Linked DNA regions of Macaca fascicularis. The protein of the gene in region 1 purifies or fractionates together with the protein of each later gene. This does not show direct contact. Links are inferred from orthologs where the notes say so. Each region holds a gene or a part of one and is shown on either strand. Other genes may lie near its edges. The genes, in order: RAD51 and SQSTM1.

Region 1 (6,860 bases):
CAACACACTCCTAAATAACCAACAAGTCAAAGAAGAAATGACAAGGGAAATGAGAAAATATTTTTTGCAATGAATGAAAATGAAGATAAACCAAAACTTACGGGCTCCAACAAAAGCAGTGCTCAGAGAGAAATTCATAGCTATAAATACCTATATTAGAAAAGAAGGCTGGGTGCGGTGGCTCATGCCTGTAATCCCAGCACTTTGGGAGGCTGAGGTGGGAGGACTGCTGGAAGCCAGGAGTTTGAGACCAGCCTGAGCAACAAAGTGGGACCCTGGCTCTAAAAAATGTTTTAAAATTAGCAGGGCATGGCTGGGCACGGTGGCTCACACCTGTAATCCCAGCACTTTGGGAGGGTGAGGTGCGCAGATCACAAAGTCAGGAGTTCAAGACCAGCCTGCCCAATATGGTGAAACCCCATCTCTACTAAAAATACAAAAATTAGCTGGGCATGGTGGCATGCACCTGTAGTCCCAACTACTCAGGAGGCTGAAACAGGAGAATTGCTTGAATCCAGGTGGTGGAGACTGCAGTGAGCTGAGATCGCACCACTGAACCCCAGCCTGGGCAACAGAGCAAGACTCCGTCAGAAAAAAAAAAAAAAAAAAAAAGGCCTGGCGTGGTGGCTCATGTCTATAATCCCAGCACTTTGGGAGGCCAAGGCAGGCAGATCACGAGGTCAGGAGACCGAGACCATCCTGGATAACATGGTGAAACCCCATCTCTACTAAAAATACAAAAAATTAGCCAGGCATCATGGCACGCGCCTGTAATCCCAGCCACTCGGGAGGCTGAGGCAGAAGAATCACTTGAATCCAAGAGGCGGAGGTTGCAGTCAGCAGAGATCGCACCACTGCACTCCAGCCTGGGCACAGAGGGAGACTCTGTCTCAAAAAAAAAAACAAACAAACAAAAAAACCAACAAATTAGCAGGCCATTGTGGAGCGTGCCTGTGGTCCTAGTTACCTGGGAGGCTGAGGCAGAAGGTTTGTTTGAACCAGGAGTTGGAGGCTGCAGTGAGCTATAATCGCACCACTGCACTGCAACAAAGTAACAGAACAAGACTCTGTCTCTAAAAATGAAACAGATAAATCCTAACCTAACCTTCCAAAGAACAGCAAACAAAACAAAGCAAGCAGAAGGATGGAAATAAAACAAGTTGGGTCGAAACTATTAGGTAAAGGACAGAATAATAGAGAAAAATCAATGAAACCAAAAGCTGGTTCTTTGAAAACATCAACGAAATTGACAAACTTTTAGCTGCACTGACCAAAAAAAGAGAGAAAAGACTCAAATTACTAAAATCAAGAATGAAAGAGGGAACATTACTACTGACTTTATGGAAATAAAAAGTAGTATAAGGAAACCCTTTGAGCAACTCTATGTCAACAAGTTAGATAACTTAGATGAAATAAGCAAATTCCTAGAAAGATAAACTACAAAAACTCACTCAAGAAGAAAATCTAGGCCGGGCGCGGTGGCTCACGCCTGTAATCCCAGCACTTTGGGAGGCCGAGTCGGGCGGATCACGAGGTCAGGAGATCAAGACCATACTGGCTAACATGGTGAAACCCCATCTCTACTAAAAATACAAAAAATTAGCCAGGCATGGTGTTAGGCACCTGTAGTCCCAGCTACTCGGGAGGCTGAGGCAGGAGAATGGCATGAACCTGGGAGGCGGAGCTTATAGTGAGCTGAGATCGCGCCACTGCACTCCAGCCTGGGTGACAGAGCAAGACTCCGTCTCAAAAAAAAAAAAAACCAAAAAAAAAAAGAGGCCGGGCGCGGTGGCTCAAGCCTGTAATCCCAGCACTTTGGGAGGCCAAGACGGGCGGATCACGAAGTTAGGAGATCGAGACTATCCTGGCTAACTCGGTGAAACCCCGACTCTATTAAAAAATACAAAAACCTAGCCGGGCGAGGTGGCGGGCACCTGTAGTCCCAGCTACTTGGGAGGCTGAGGCGGGAGAATGGCGTAAACCCGGGAGGCGGAGCTTGCAGTGAGCTGAGATCGGGCCACTGCACTCCAGCCTGGGAGACAAAGCGAGACTCTGTCTCAACAACAACAACAAAAAAAAAAAAAAAAAAAAGAAAAGAAAATCTAAATAGACCCATGGAAAGTACAAAGATTAAACTTTTATAATTTTAAAATTTCCCATGAAGGAAAAAAAAAATAAACAAATAGTTGAAAAAGTCAATGAAAGTTTATTTTCTAAACTTTTCTATATATTTAATATTTCATTTAAAAATTTATTACAGGGCCAGGTGCATTGGCTCACGCCTGTAATCCCAGCACTTTGGGAGACTGAGGCGGGCGGATTACCCGAGGCCAGGATTTTGAGACCAGCCTGACCAATTCATATACTCACTGTCAATTCCGTGCAACAAACATATACTAGACACTTACTCTGTATGAAACATAATCCCAGGGACTCTGAAGGATATGGAGAAAAAGAAGAGCAGATTCTTGCCTCCACAGAACTTATAATTTAATCAGGAAGATACACTATACAAAATAACTATAGTACAAGTAGATGTGATGGGTAATATAAGAAGTACTAACAAAAGAGCCATGGGAGCTCAAGGAATATAGACTACTTCCTTTGGTGAAAAACAGAAAGAGAAGGTATTAGCAAAGACGAAACTGGTAGAAATGGCCAGGTTAGTGGCATGTGCCTGTAGTCCCAGCTACTCAGGAGGCTGAGGAGAATTCCTTGAGCCCAAGAGTTTGAAGCTGCAGTGAGCTATGATCATGCCATTGCACTCCAGCCTGGGCAACAGAGTGAGAGTCTGTCTCTCTCTCTCTTTTTTTTTTTTTTAAAAGGTGGGCATAGTGGCTCGTGCCTGTAATTTCAGCACTTTGGGAGGCTGAGGCAGGTGGACTGCTTGAGGCCAGGAGTTTGAGACCAGCCTGGGCAACATGGTGAAACCCCGTTTCAACTGAAAATACAAAAAGTAACCAAGTGTGGTGGTGGGCGCCTGTAATCCCAGCTACTCGGGAGGTTGAGGCAGGAGAATCACTTGAACCTGGGAGGCAAAGGTTGCAGTGAGCCAAGCCAAGATTGCACCACTGTGCTCCAGCCTGGGTGACACAGCGAGACTCTGCCTCAGAAAAAAAAAAAAAAAGGAAAACAAACAATACAATCATAATCTTTACTGGCCAGAAACTAAGAACATAAAATATTGAAAAGTTAAGACACATATGTCTATACCATTTTGCATTTCAAATCATGATATTCTAGGTTTGCATTTTTGTGTTCATAGAAGCAGAGAAGTGATTCGATTTCTGAAACCAAGATCTCACAAGGCAAAAAGTAAAGATCCTGTCAGCATTTGTTCATTCACAAAAACTGATGCCCAAAAAGTGAAAACAGAAAGACTTTAGGGACCCCTACTGGCTTAGTCAATATGACAATCTTTTAACAAAAGTACTGTTAAGGACTCAGAACTCTTTCTTATTTCCAATTAAGCAACCACTTCAACAAATATTCATTTATTTGAGTAATCCAATAAATTTATCTAACGCTAACAGTAATCGATACGTGAAAATACAATTTTATAAATAAATATTTGCAGATCGGGCGCGGTGGCTCAAGCCTGTAATCCCAGCACTTTGGGAGGCCGAGACTGGCGGATCACGAGGTCAGGAGATCGAGACCATCCTGGCTAACACGGTGAAACCCCGTCTCTACTAAAAAATACAAAAAACTAGCCGGGCGCGGTGGCGGGCGCCTGTAGTCCCAACTACTCGGGAGGCTGAGGCAGAAGAATGGCGTGAACCCGGGAGGCGGAGCTTGCAGTGAGCTGAGATCCGGCCACTGCACTCCAGCCTGGGCGGCAGAGCGAGACTCCGTCTCAAAAAAAAAAAAAAAAATAAATAAATAAATAAATAAATAAATAAATAAATATTTGCAGCGGGGCATGGTGGCTCACACCTGTTATCTCAGCACTTTAGGAGGCTGAGGTAGGCAGATCACAAGGTCAGGAGATCAAGACCATCCTGGCCAACATGGTGAAACCCTGTCTCTACCAAAAATACAAAAATAAGCTGGGCGTGGTGGCAGGTACCTGTAGTCCCAGCTAATGGGGAGGCTGAGGCAGGAGAATTGCTTGAACCTGGGAGGCGGAAGTTGCAGTGAGCCGAGATTGCACCACTGTACTCCAGCCTGGCAATAGAGCAAGACTCTGTCTCAAAAAAAAAAAAAAAAAAAAAAAAAAATCTGCTCTATACTATATAAAACTGCAAGGATAAAGGCAGTAAAACTGTGTAACTATATAAATACTGAAGGAATAGGTTCATAAAACAAAATGTAACCATGGCGAAATATGGATGTTAAAGAACTATATGAAGCTAGAAAAATAAAGAGGCCAGGCACAGTAGCTCACACCTGTAATCCCAGCACTTTGGGAGGCTGAGGTAGGTGAATCACCTGAGCTCAGGAGTTCGAGACTACCCCAGCATGGTGGCATGTGCCTGTAGTCCCAGCTACTTGGGAGACTGAGGTGGAAGAATCGCTTGAGCTTAGGAGGCGAAGGCTGCAGTGAGCTGAGATGGCACCACTGCACTCCAGCCTGTGTGACAGAGCAAGAACCTGTCTCCAAAAAAAAAAAAAAGAAACAGGTAACAGTCACCCCTGGAAAGGAGAACGAGATGACAGAAGAATGAGAGATGGAAGGAAGAAGTCTTTCACTACATTACCTTTTGTACTAGTCCCACTAATGCCTCCTTAGGTCAATTAAGCAGTACTTACCAGAATTTTATCAGCTTTGGCTTCACTAATTCCCTTAATATTTATTAGCTCCTTCTTTGGTGCATAGGCAACAGCCTCCACAGTATGGAATCCAGCTTCTTCCAATTTCTTCACATCGTTGGCATTTATGCCACACTGCTGCAAATGAAGAAAACCATGGATAAATTTAAACTTTAGTTATTTAATCTAACACAGATGATATGTGTCCTACATACGCCACAGAGGTGCTTGAAGACTTGTAATACAACTGTCCCTTGAAATCCTGGGGTGGGGAGATGGGAAGTTGGTTCCAGGATCCCCAGCAGATAACAAAATCCAAGAATGCTCAAGTCCCTTATATAAAATGGCATATTACCTGCATATAACCTCTATACATCCTCCTGTATACTTTTTTTTTTATATGTAGTTGATTGAATTTTTGATATGCAGTTTGTTGAATTTGCTGATGCAGAATCCAGGGATATAGAGAGCCTACTGGATTATATGCAAAAGCTGAAAAATGAGCCCTATATATGAGGTACTTAATAACAAATTAACAACCTTTTCATTATCAAAATCAATAATTTTAAACTAGCACTATGCCATGTATATTAAAAAGAACTCTTATAAGCAAATGGAATTAAAAAGTAACTCCCAACTTTTTTTGTGTGATCCTAAATGATCTCCGAGACTTTGGGCCCTACAAGATCAGTTTAAGACCGTGTTGCTCAGCACTTTCCATATCAAGCACATAAAAAATGATATTTTTACACTATGGTAGGGTAAACAGATAAGGCTGCTCAGAATGAAAAGAGCGCTATCTTGGCCTATCAATACCTTTTTGTTGAACAATGACCAGAAAGCTCTGCTCTAACAACTGACATTAACAGTGAGGAAAACTACTTTTTGTCAGGGACTTTTATATCTCTTCTTAAACCACCCAAATCCACCTCTTTCTTCCTATATTCAAGTCAGTTTTGGTTTCATTAGCCACCAAAACCATGACTTCTGGGAAAACATGAGTTAGTAGGTGAATGTGAGTGTATTCAGGGGTTGGGAGAATTTAGAAGAGGGGAAAGATTAGTTTGCCAACATAAGCCATGTCTGCTGTTAATATTTAAGCAATAAGCAATATGCATGTATGAGTATAAGGATGCTCACGGCACCAGAAGTTATGATTCTGAACTTTAAAATGTTTATCACAAATCCATTTAAGTAACTTCTAGAGTCTTTTTTAAATAAGCTTTTTGCACTCCTAGAGTCTTGAAGATTAGTCGGAGATGGGAAATTTGAAAAAAGAGACAGAAAAATCAAGTCTTTCTCTGCTTTCCCCCTACTTATCTCAGCCCCAATCAGCTGCACTCACACGGCAGTCTCTATACAATGGGCAGAAATAGTGTGAGGCCTCAGCTCCGGTGCTTAATGTTCTTGTGCAGAATCCTGAATTGGAGCTTATCTCTTATACCGTAACACCACCACAGCCTTCTCTCTGCCAATGACAGCTGACAGCACAAAGCTAAGTCAATAAAGAGAAGTTGGCTGCCGGGCGCGGTGGCTCAAGCCTGTAATCCCAGCACTTTGGGAGGCCGAGACGGGCGGATCACGAGGTCAGGAGATCGAGACCATCCTGGCTAACACGGTGAAACCCCGTCTCTACTAAAAAAAATACAAAAAACTAGCCGGGCGAGGTGGCGGGCGCCTGTAGTCCCAGCTACTCGGGAGGCTGAGGCAGGAGAATGGTCTAAACCCGGGAGGCGGAGCTTGCAGTGAGCTGAGATCCGGCCACTGCACCCCAGCCTGGGCGACAGAGCAAGACTCTGTCTCAAAAAAAAAAAAAAAAAAAAAAAAGAAGTTGCTACCCTGTCTTCCTTGCATAACTGGTCCAGGCCACTATAATTCCCAGAACGGCACTTTCATACTTAGTGCAAACAGCACAGGATGCTTTGGCTGGGCGTGGTGGCTCATGACTGTAATCCTAGCAGTTTGGGACGCTGAGGCAGGTGGATTGCTTGAGACCAGGAGTTCAAGACCAACCTGGTCAACACAGTAAGACCCATTTCTTAAAAACAAAACAAAAAACAGCACAGGCCGGGCATCGTGGCTCATGCCTGTAATCCCAGCACTTTGGG
Region 2 (5,766 bases), on another chromosome or scaffold:
CTTCCTATCAACCTTTTCTTAGTGTTTCAGTGGGATCAGACAGCCTTGGATCACCAGCCATCTGAGGAAAGGCCCCACACATGGGAGAAAAGGGCTTAAAGGGAAAAGAATGTTAATGCCCTCAGTGAGATACAAAAGAGTATTGTCTGTGTGAAAAAGGAACAGGATACTATAAAAAGGATAACAAAGGGAATAGAATAAGAAAGTTCTTGAAATTAAAAAATGTAAATAGAAAAAAAACTTCAAAAGAAGGCTTAGATTCTAATATTATCTCAAGGAGATATTCCAAAAGCAGAACAGAGATAGAAGGAGAGAAAAAACTAGTGTAGGAACAAGTCTAGAAGCCCCATATAGGATGAGTAGGAATTCCAGAAAGAATAGAAAACTGAAAGGAGGAAATGAACATGGAATGCAAGGTAGTTTCTTGGCGCCAGGCACGGTGGCTCATGCCTGTAATCCCAACACTTTGGGAGACCAAGGCGGGCAGATAACTTGAGCTCACGAGTTTGAGACCAGCCTTGGCAACATAGGGAGACACCGTTCCCCTCTCCCTGTGTCTACAAACACTACAAACATTAGCTGGGCCTGGAGTTGTGTACTTATGGCCCCAGCTACTCGGGAGGCTGAGGTTGGGGATGGCTTGAGCCTGGGAGGCAGAGGGTGCAACAAGCCTAGATTGTACCACTGCACTCCATCCTGGGCAACAGAACAGACCTTGTCTCAAAACAAAAAAACAACAGAAAACAAAAAAAATGCAAGATAGTTTCTTGGCAATGAGGACCTTATCTTCTAGATTGAAAGCGGCCCTGACAATGACTGAGAAAGACCCCACAGCAAAGCTTATCGCTGTCCAGCGTCAGAACCCTGAGGATAAAGAGGGGCTTCTAAAATTTTAGGTTATTGTAAATACTTGGGAATACAAAGAGCAAACAATCATGAAAAGCTAGGAGACAGTGGAACAACTGATGACTCAAAAAAATCAGTTAAAGCTGGGCGTGGTGGCTCAAGCCTGTAATCCCAGCACTTTGGGAGGCCGAGACGGGCGGATCACGAGGTCAGGAGATCAAGACCATCCTGGCTAACACGGTGAAACCCTGTCTCTACTAAAAAATACAAAAAAACTAGCCAGGCCTAGTGGCGGGCGTCTGTAGTCCCAGCTACTCGGGAGGCTGAGGCAGGAGAATGGCGGGAACCCGGGAGGCGGAGCTTGCAGTGAGCTGAGATCCGGCCACTGCACTCCAGCCTGGGCGACAGAGTGAGACTCCGTGTCAAAAAAAAAAAAAAAGTTAAAAAGGCTTTTCAGCCTATAATTCTCTTGTTTGTGAAACGGTCTGTCAACTGGGTTGGAGTGCAATGGTACAGCTGTCTTGATCTCGTGGGCTCAAGTGATCCTTCTGCTTCAGCCTCCCAAGTAGCTGGAACTACAGGCATGTGCCACTGTACCTAGATTTTTTTTTTTCTTTTTTCTTTTTTTTTTTTTTTTTTTTTTTTACCCCCCCAAGTCGGAGTCTTGCTGTCGCCCAGGCTGGAGTGCGGTGATGTGATTTCAGCTCACTGCAATTTCCACCTCCTGGGTTCAAGCAGTTTTCTGCCTCAGCCTCCCGAGTAGCTGGAATGACAGGCATCCGCCGCCACGCCTGGCTAATTTTTATATTTTCAGTAAAGATGGGGTTTCACCATCTTGGCCAGGCTGGTCTTGAACTCCTGACCTCATGATCCACCTGCCTTGGCCTCCCAAAGTGCTGGGATTACAGGCGTGAGCCACCACGCCCAGCCCTGTGCCCAGCTGTTTTAAAAACATTTTGTAGAGATGGGGTCTTGCCATGCTGCCCAGGCCGACTTTGAACTCCTGGGCTCAAGAGATCTCCCACGTTGTTCTCCCAAAGTGTTAGGATTACGTGCGTGAGCCACTGTGCCTGGTCCAGCCTAGAGTTCTATAACCATCTAAAACAATCAAGTATCAGGGCAGAACAAAGTTACTTTCTGGTATACAGTCTTAATTATTTTAACCTTGGTTTGAACCACATGAAGAGATAAACCCGAAATGAAGCACAGAGCTATTAGGAAACAGGGGACCTAATAGGACAGAGGGTGAAAGTAAAGGTGGTCACAGCAGTGCAGCAGAGCCTCTGCCCAGAGAGCCGCCAGTCCTGGCTGGAACAGGAGGCTGCACAGCCGGGGACACTCTCTATGGAAAACACCAGAACCAGTGGGGCCTCGGATCCACTTCACCCTCTGAGCAATAGTCTGTAGTTTGTAGAAAACTATGGAGATGCTGTGGGGAGAACATGGGGAAAGTCAGCAAATGAAAAGAGAAGGCAGGTTGGGTGCGGTGGCTCATGTCGGTAATCCCAGCATGTTGGGGGGCGGATCACCTGAGGTCAGGAGTTCAAGACCAGCCTGGCCAACATGGTGAAACCCCGTCTCTACAGTAAAAATATAAAAGTTAGCTGGGCATGGTAGCATGTGCCTGTAGTCCCAGCTACTCTGGAGGCTGAGGCAGGAGAATCACTTGTACCCGGTGGGCGGAGGTTGCAGTGAGCCGAGAGATTGCGCCACTGCACTCCAGCCTGGGCGTCAGAGCGAGACTCCGTCTAAAAAAAAGAGAAGCCGTCATCAGTGGTAGGAAAACAAAAAGCTATGCAAGGAAATAGTCTGCCCCTTGACCCAGCAAAGAACATTTAGATAGAGGTACTAGCTGAAACACTGAATGTTCTTTTAACAAAAAACTGAGTCTTGGAAAGGGTAGTGGAAGGAGAGGCAGATACTGGTCTAGAGTAGGAAATGCACAGATGTGAACTCGATCATCAGGTGAGAGCAGCATGAGCTGAAAGGGTGCAGGGAGGCTTTGGGGAGTGGGATGGGAGCAGTGTGTGCACCACAGCCTTTGACAACCGGTGACTCTAAGCTGTGGGCATGGAGACTTTTGACACTATTTAATTTCAGAATAGTGCAGGTGATTCTTTCCTCTGTCCTTGGTGAGTTACGTGAGCCTGGAGGTGTGCAGGCTCCCTGCGCTGCCACGTCGGGCCCCATGCCTCGCCTGCATGGCCTGTCCACTCCGAGCGGAGCCCAGCGTTTAGGTGCGTGTTATGTCATCACCCAAAGCCTCTGTGTGCAAGTGTCATGAGGCACACACAGCCTTCCATCACTGTGGCTGGAGGTGCCCGCCACATGCAGTGTTGGCTCCCCCGTACTTAGGGCTTGGCCCTACCTGCTGTGTAGCCCATACCCTGCATGGTTAGAAAAAACAAGGTCTCTTTGACTTTCTGGCTTAGAAGCTGACCTTAGATGCTAGCTGAGGTTAATGTTTTACTGAATTGGAGAAAGAGAAAGCTCCAGTATCGCGGGCACACCGAGAATGTTTCCAGAAGCCACAGAAATTTGTAGCTGGGATATTGGGAGAAGCCTCGGACTCACACGTTTGCATCGTCTAGTCCCATACTAACTGTGTGATTCCGGGGTCAAGCTGGGTAGGAGAACCTAGCCCCTGCATCCACACACTGAGTGCCGCCATCCACACCCTCACCTGCTTGTGTGGACTGAACGTGAGATCTTCATGAGTCTGTAGTCCCCACAGGCCACACTCCTGCTCGCAGCTGCCTCCTTGGGGGAGTGTCACAGCTTTCTCTCTCCTCCTTGGCCTCTAGGCATTGAAGTGGATATTGACGTGGAGCACGGCGGGAAAAGAAGCCGCCTGACCCCTGCCTCTCCAGAGAGTTCCAGCACAGAGGAGAAGAACAGCTCACAGCCAAGCAGCTGCTGCTCTGACCCCAGCAAGCCGGGTGGGAATGTTGAGGGCGCCACGCAGTCTCTGGCAGAGCAGATGAGAAAGATCGCCTTGGAGTCCGAGGGGCGGCCTGAGGCAAGCCTGTGCCCCTCCCACCACCTGGGACCTCGGGCAGCCTAGCGATTTGTAGCTGCACCTCCGCCTCATCCTCAGCACTTATGCAGCCACTTATGAAACCTGAGGGAGCTGCTGCTGCTGCAGTGATGTCTGTGCCATTAAAGTCACTCTGGGAACCTGCTAGAACTTTGTAGTTACTTGGTCTTTGTGAGTGGCTCACTGATCCCCGTAGCCCCCTGCAGCCTTAAACACATGTGTGCGTGCACGCTCCCCGACTGTTTGCCAGGAGTCAGTGCCATGGTCAGGCTTGGCCTGTTGCGCGTGTCTCTTGTATGCTCATGGTGAGTTCTGTTTCAGGAACAGATGGAGTCTGATAACTGCTCAGGAGGAGACGATGACTGGACCCATTTGTCTTCAAAAGAAGTGGACCCGTCCACAGGTGAACTCCAGTCCCTACAGATGCCAGAATCCGAAGGGCCAAGCTCTCTGGACCCCTCCCAGGAGGGACCCACAGGGCTGAAGGAAGCTGCCTTGTACCCGCATCTCCCACCAGGCAAGTGAACCAAGAGTTCTGTGTTCAGTCCTACCTTTCCCTTCAGAGCATCCTGCCCCCCGATTCCAGCGACACAAACAGGATGGGACGTTCTCCACTGCAGGGCTTGTCTGTAGGTGTGGGAGGTTAGGAGTTGGTTTTGTCCTCTTACGTCTACCCTGAGCAGCAGTGAGTAAGCTCTGCTAATGCAGGAGTTCTAAAAATGTTTTTCTTTAAGCAAACTCCAGAGCCAGGAATATTAATTGTAGGAGTTTCTAAAACTTAACATGCAGACCAGGAATTAAGGTAGGTGTGACACAGAGAGGGGGCAGCACTGGGTGTGTCCCTACTACTCACACTGGGCTCAGACCTCTTCAGTGTCTCCTCAGGGAGTGCTGGTCTGAGTGGGGGTCATAGCCAAGATCCCTGGAAGAGCCAGGCAGAAGCCACCGTTGAAGTGGATGGTGTGGAAGGCAGCGGTGGGGGGTGGGGACAGCTGACAGAGACTCCTCATTGTCACTGCAGCCGTGTGTGTGTAAACCAAGGTCTGTGCACAACCTGCTGTGCGCTGCCAGTGTGTCTTCTCTGCCTTAGGGCAGGGGATGGCGAGCTATGGCCTATGGGCCAAGAGTAGTTCTTGTATTTTTCAATCAAAAGATGTGACAGTTAGAGGAAATGCGTATTTCAGTGTCCAGCGATAGTTTTGTTTACATACCACCTGGCTGCCTTGTGTCACAGTGGCAGAGTTGAACAGTGTGAAAAAGACTGGTTGGCCCTTTACAGGGAAAGCAGGTCCACTGTGGCCTGTGAGGGCCAGAGCTCTGGGCACTCGGACACTGGCAGGCCTTGGTCCCGCTGGCCAAGGCAGGAGGGTGTGTGTTTCGGGTCACTCACAGGGCTCAGCATCACTCCTCATGGCTTCCTTACTGTTTTGGCAGAGGCTGACCCGCGGCTGATTGAGTCCCTCTCCCAGATGCTGTCCATGGGCTTCTCTGACGAAGGCGGCTGGCTCACCAGGCTCCTGCAGACCAAGAATTACGACATCGGGGCGGCTCTGGACACCATCCAGTATTCAAAGCACTCCCCGCCATTGTGACCGCTTTTACCCACCTCTTCTGTGTCCCCCTCTTCTGTCTCGTAGCTGTTAAGCTAGTGTAGAATTGCAGGTCTCTGTACGGGCCAGTTTCTCTGCCGCCTTCCAGGATCAGGGGATCAGGGGTTAGGGTGGAAGAAGCCATTTAGGGCAGCAAAACAAGTGACATGAGGGGAGGGTCCCCGTGTGTGTGATGTCTGAGAAGCAAGACTGGTCTCCTGGGTGCTCTGGTTCCCTGCAGCAGGGCTGGGCCTGCGAGACCTGAGGCTCACCGCAGTGCTCCTGGCCCCTCCC

What was found.
Region 2: the proteins of RAD51 (region 1) and SQSTM1 purify together in Homo sapiens (affinity purification with western blotting; 3 studies listed by BioGRID). This does not show direct contact. The link is inferred for Macaca fascicularis from reciprocal best matches to the Homo sapiens genes RAD51 and SQSTM1.

What each region holds. Positions count from the first base shown.
Region 1 is NC_088381.1:17,229,562-17,236,421, reverse strand, and holds part of RAD51 (DNA repair protein RAD51 homolog 1), read right to left. Parts: intron 4,891-6,860; coding exon 4,753-4,890; intron 1-4,752.
Region 2 is NC_088380.1:186,723,873-186,729,638, forward strand, and holds part of SQSTM1 (sequestosome-1), read left to right. Parts: intron 1-3,650; coding exon 3,651-3,865; intron 3,866-4,204; coding exon 4,205-4,400; intron 4,401-5,317; coding exon 5,318-5,475; 3' UTR 5,476-5,766. UniProt on the Homo sapiens protein: Molecular adapter required for selective macroautophagy (aggrephagy) by acting as a bridge between polyubiquitinated proteins and autophagosomes.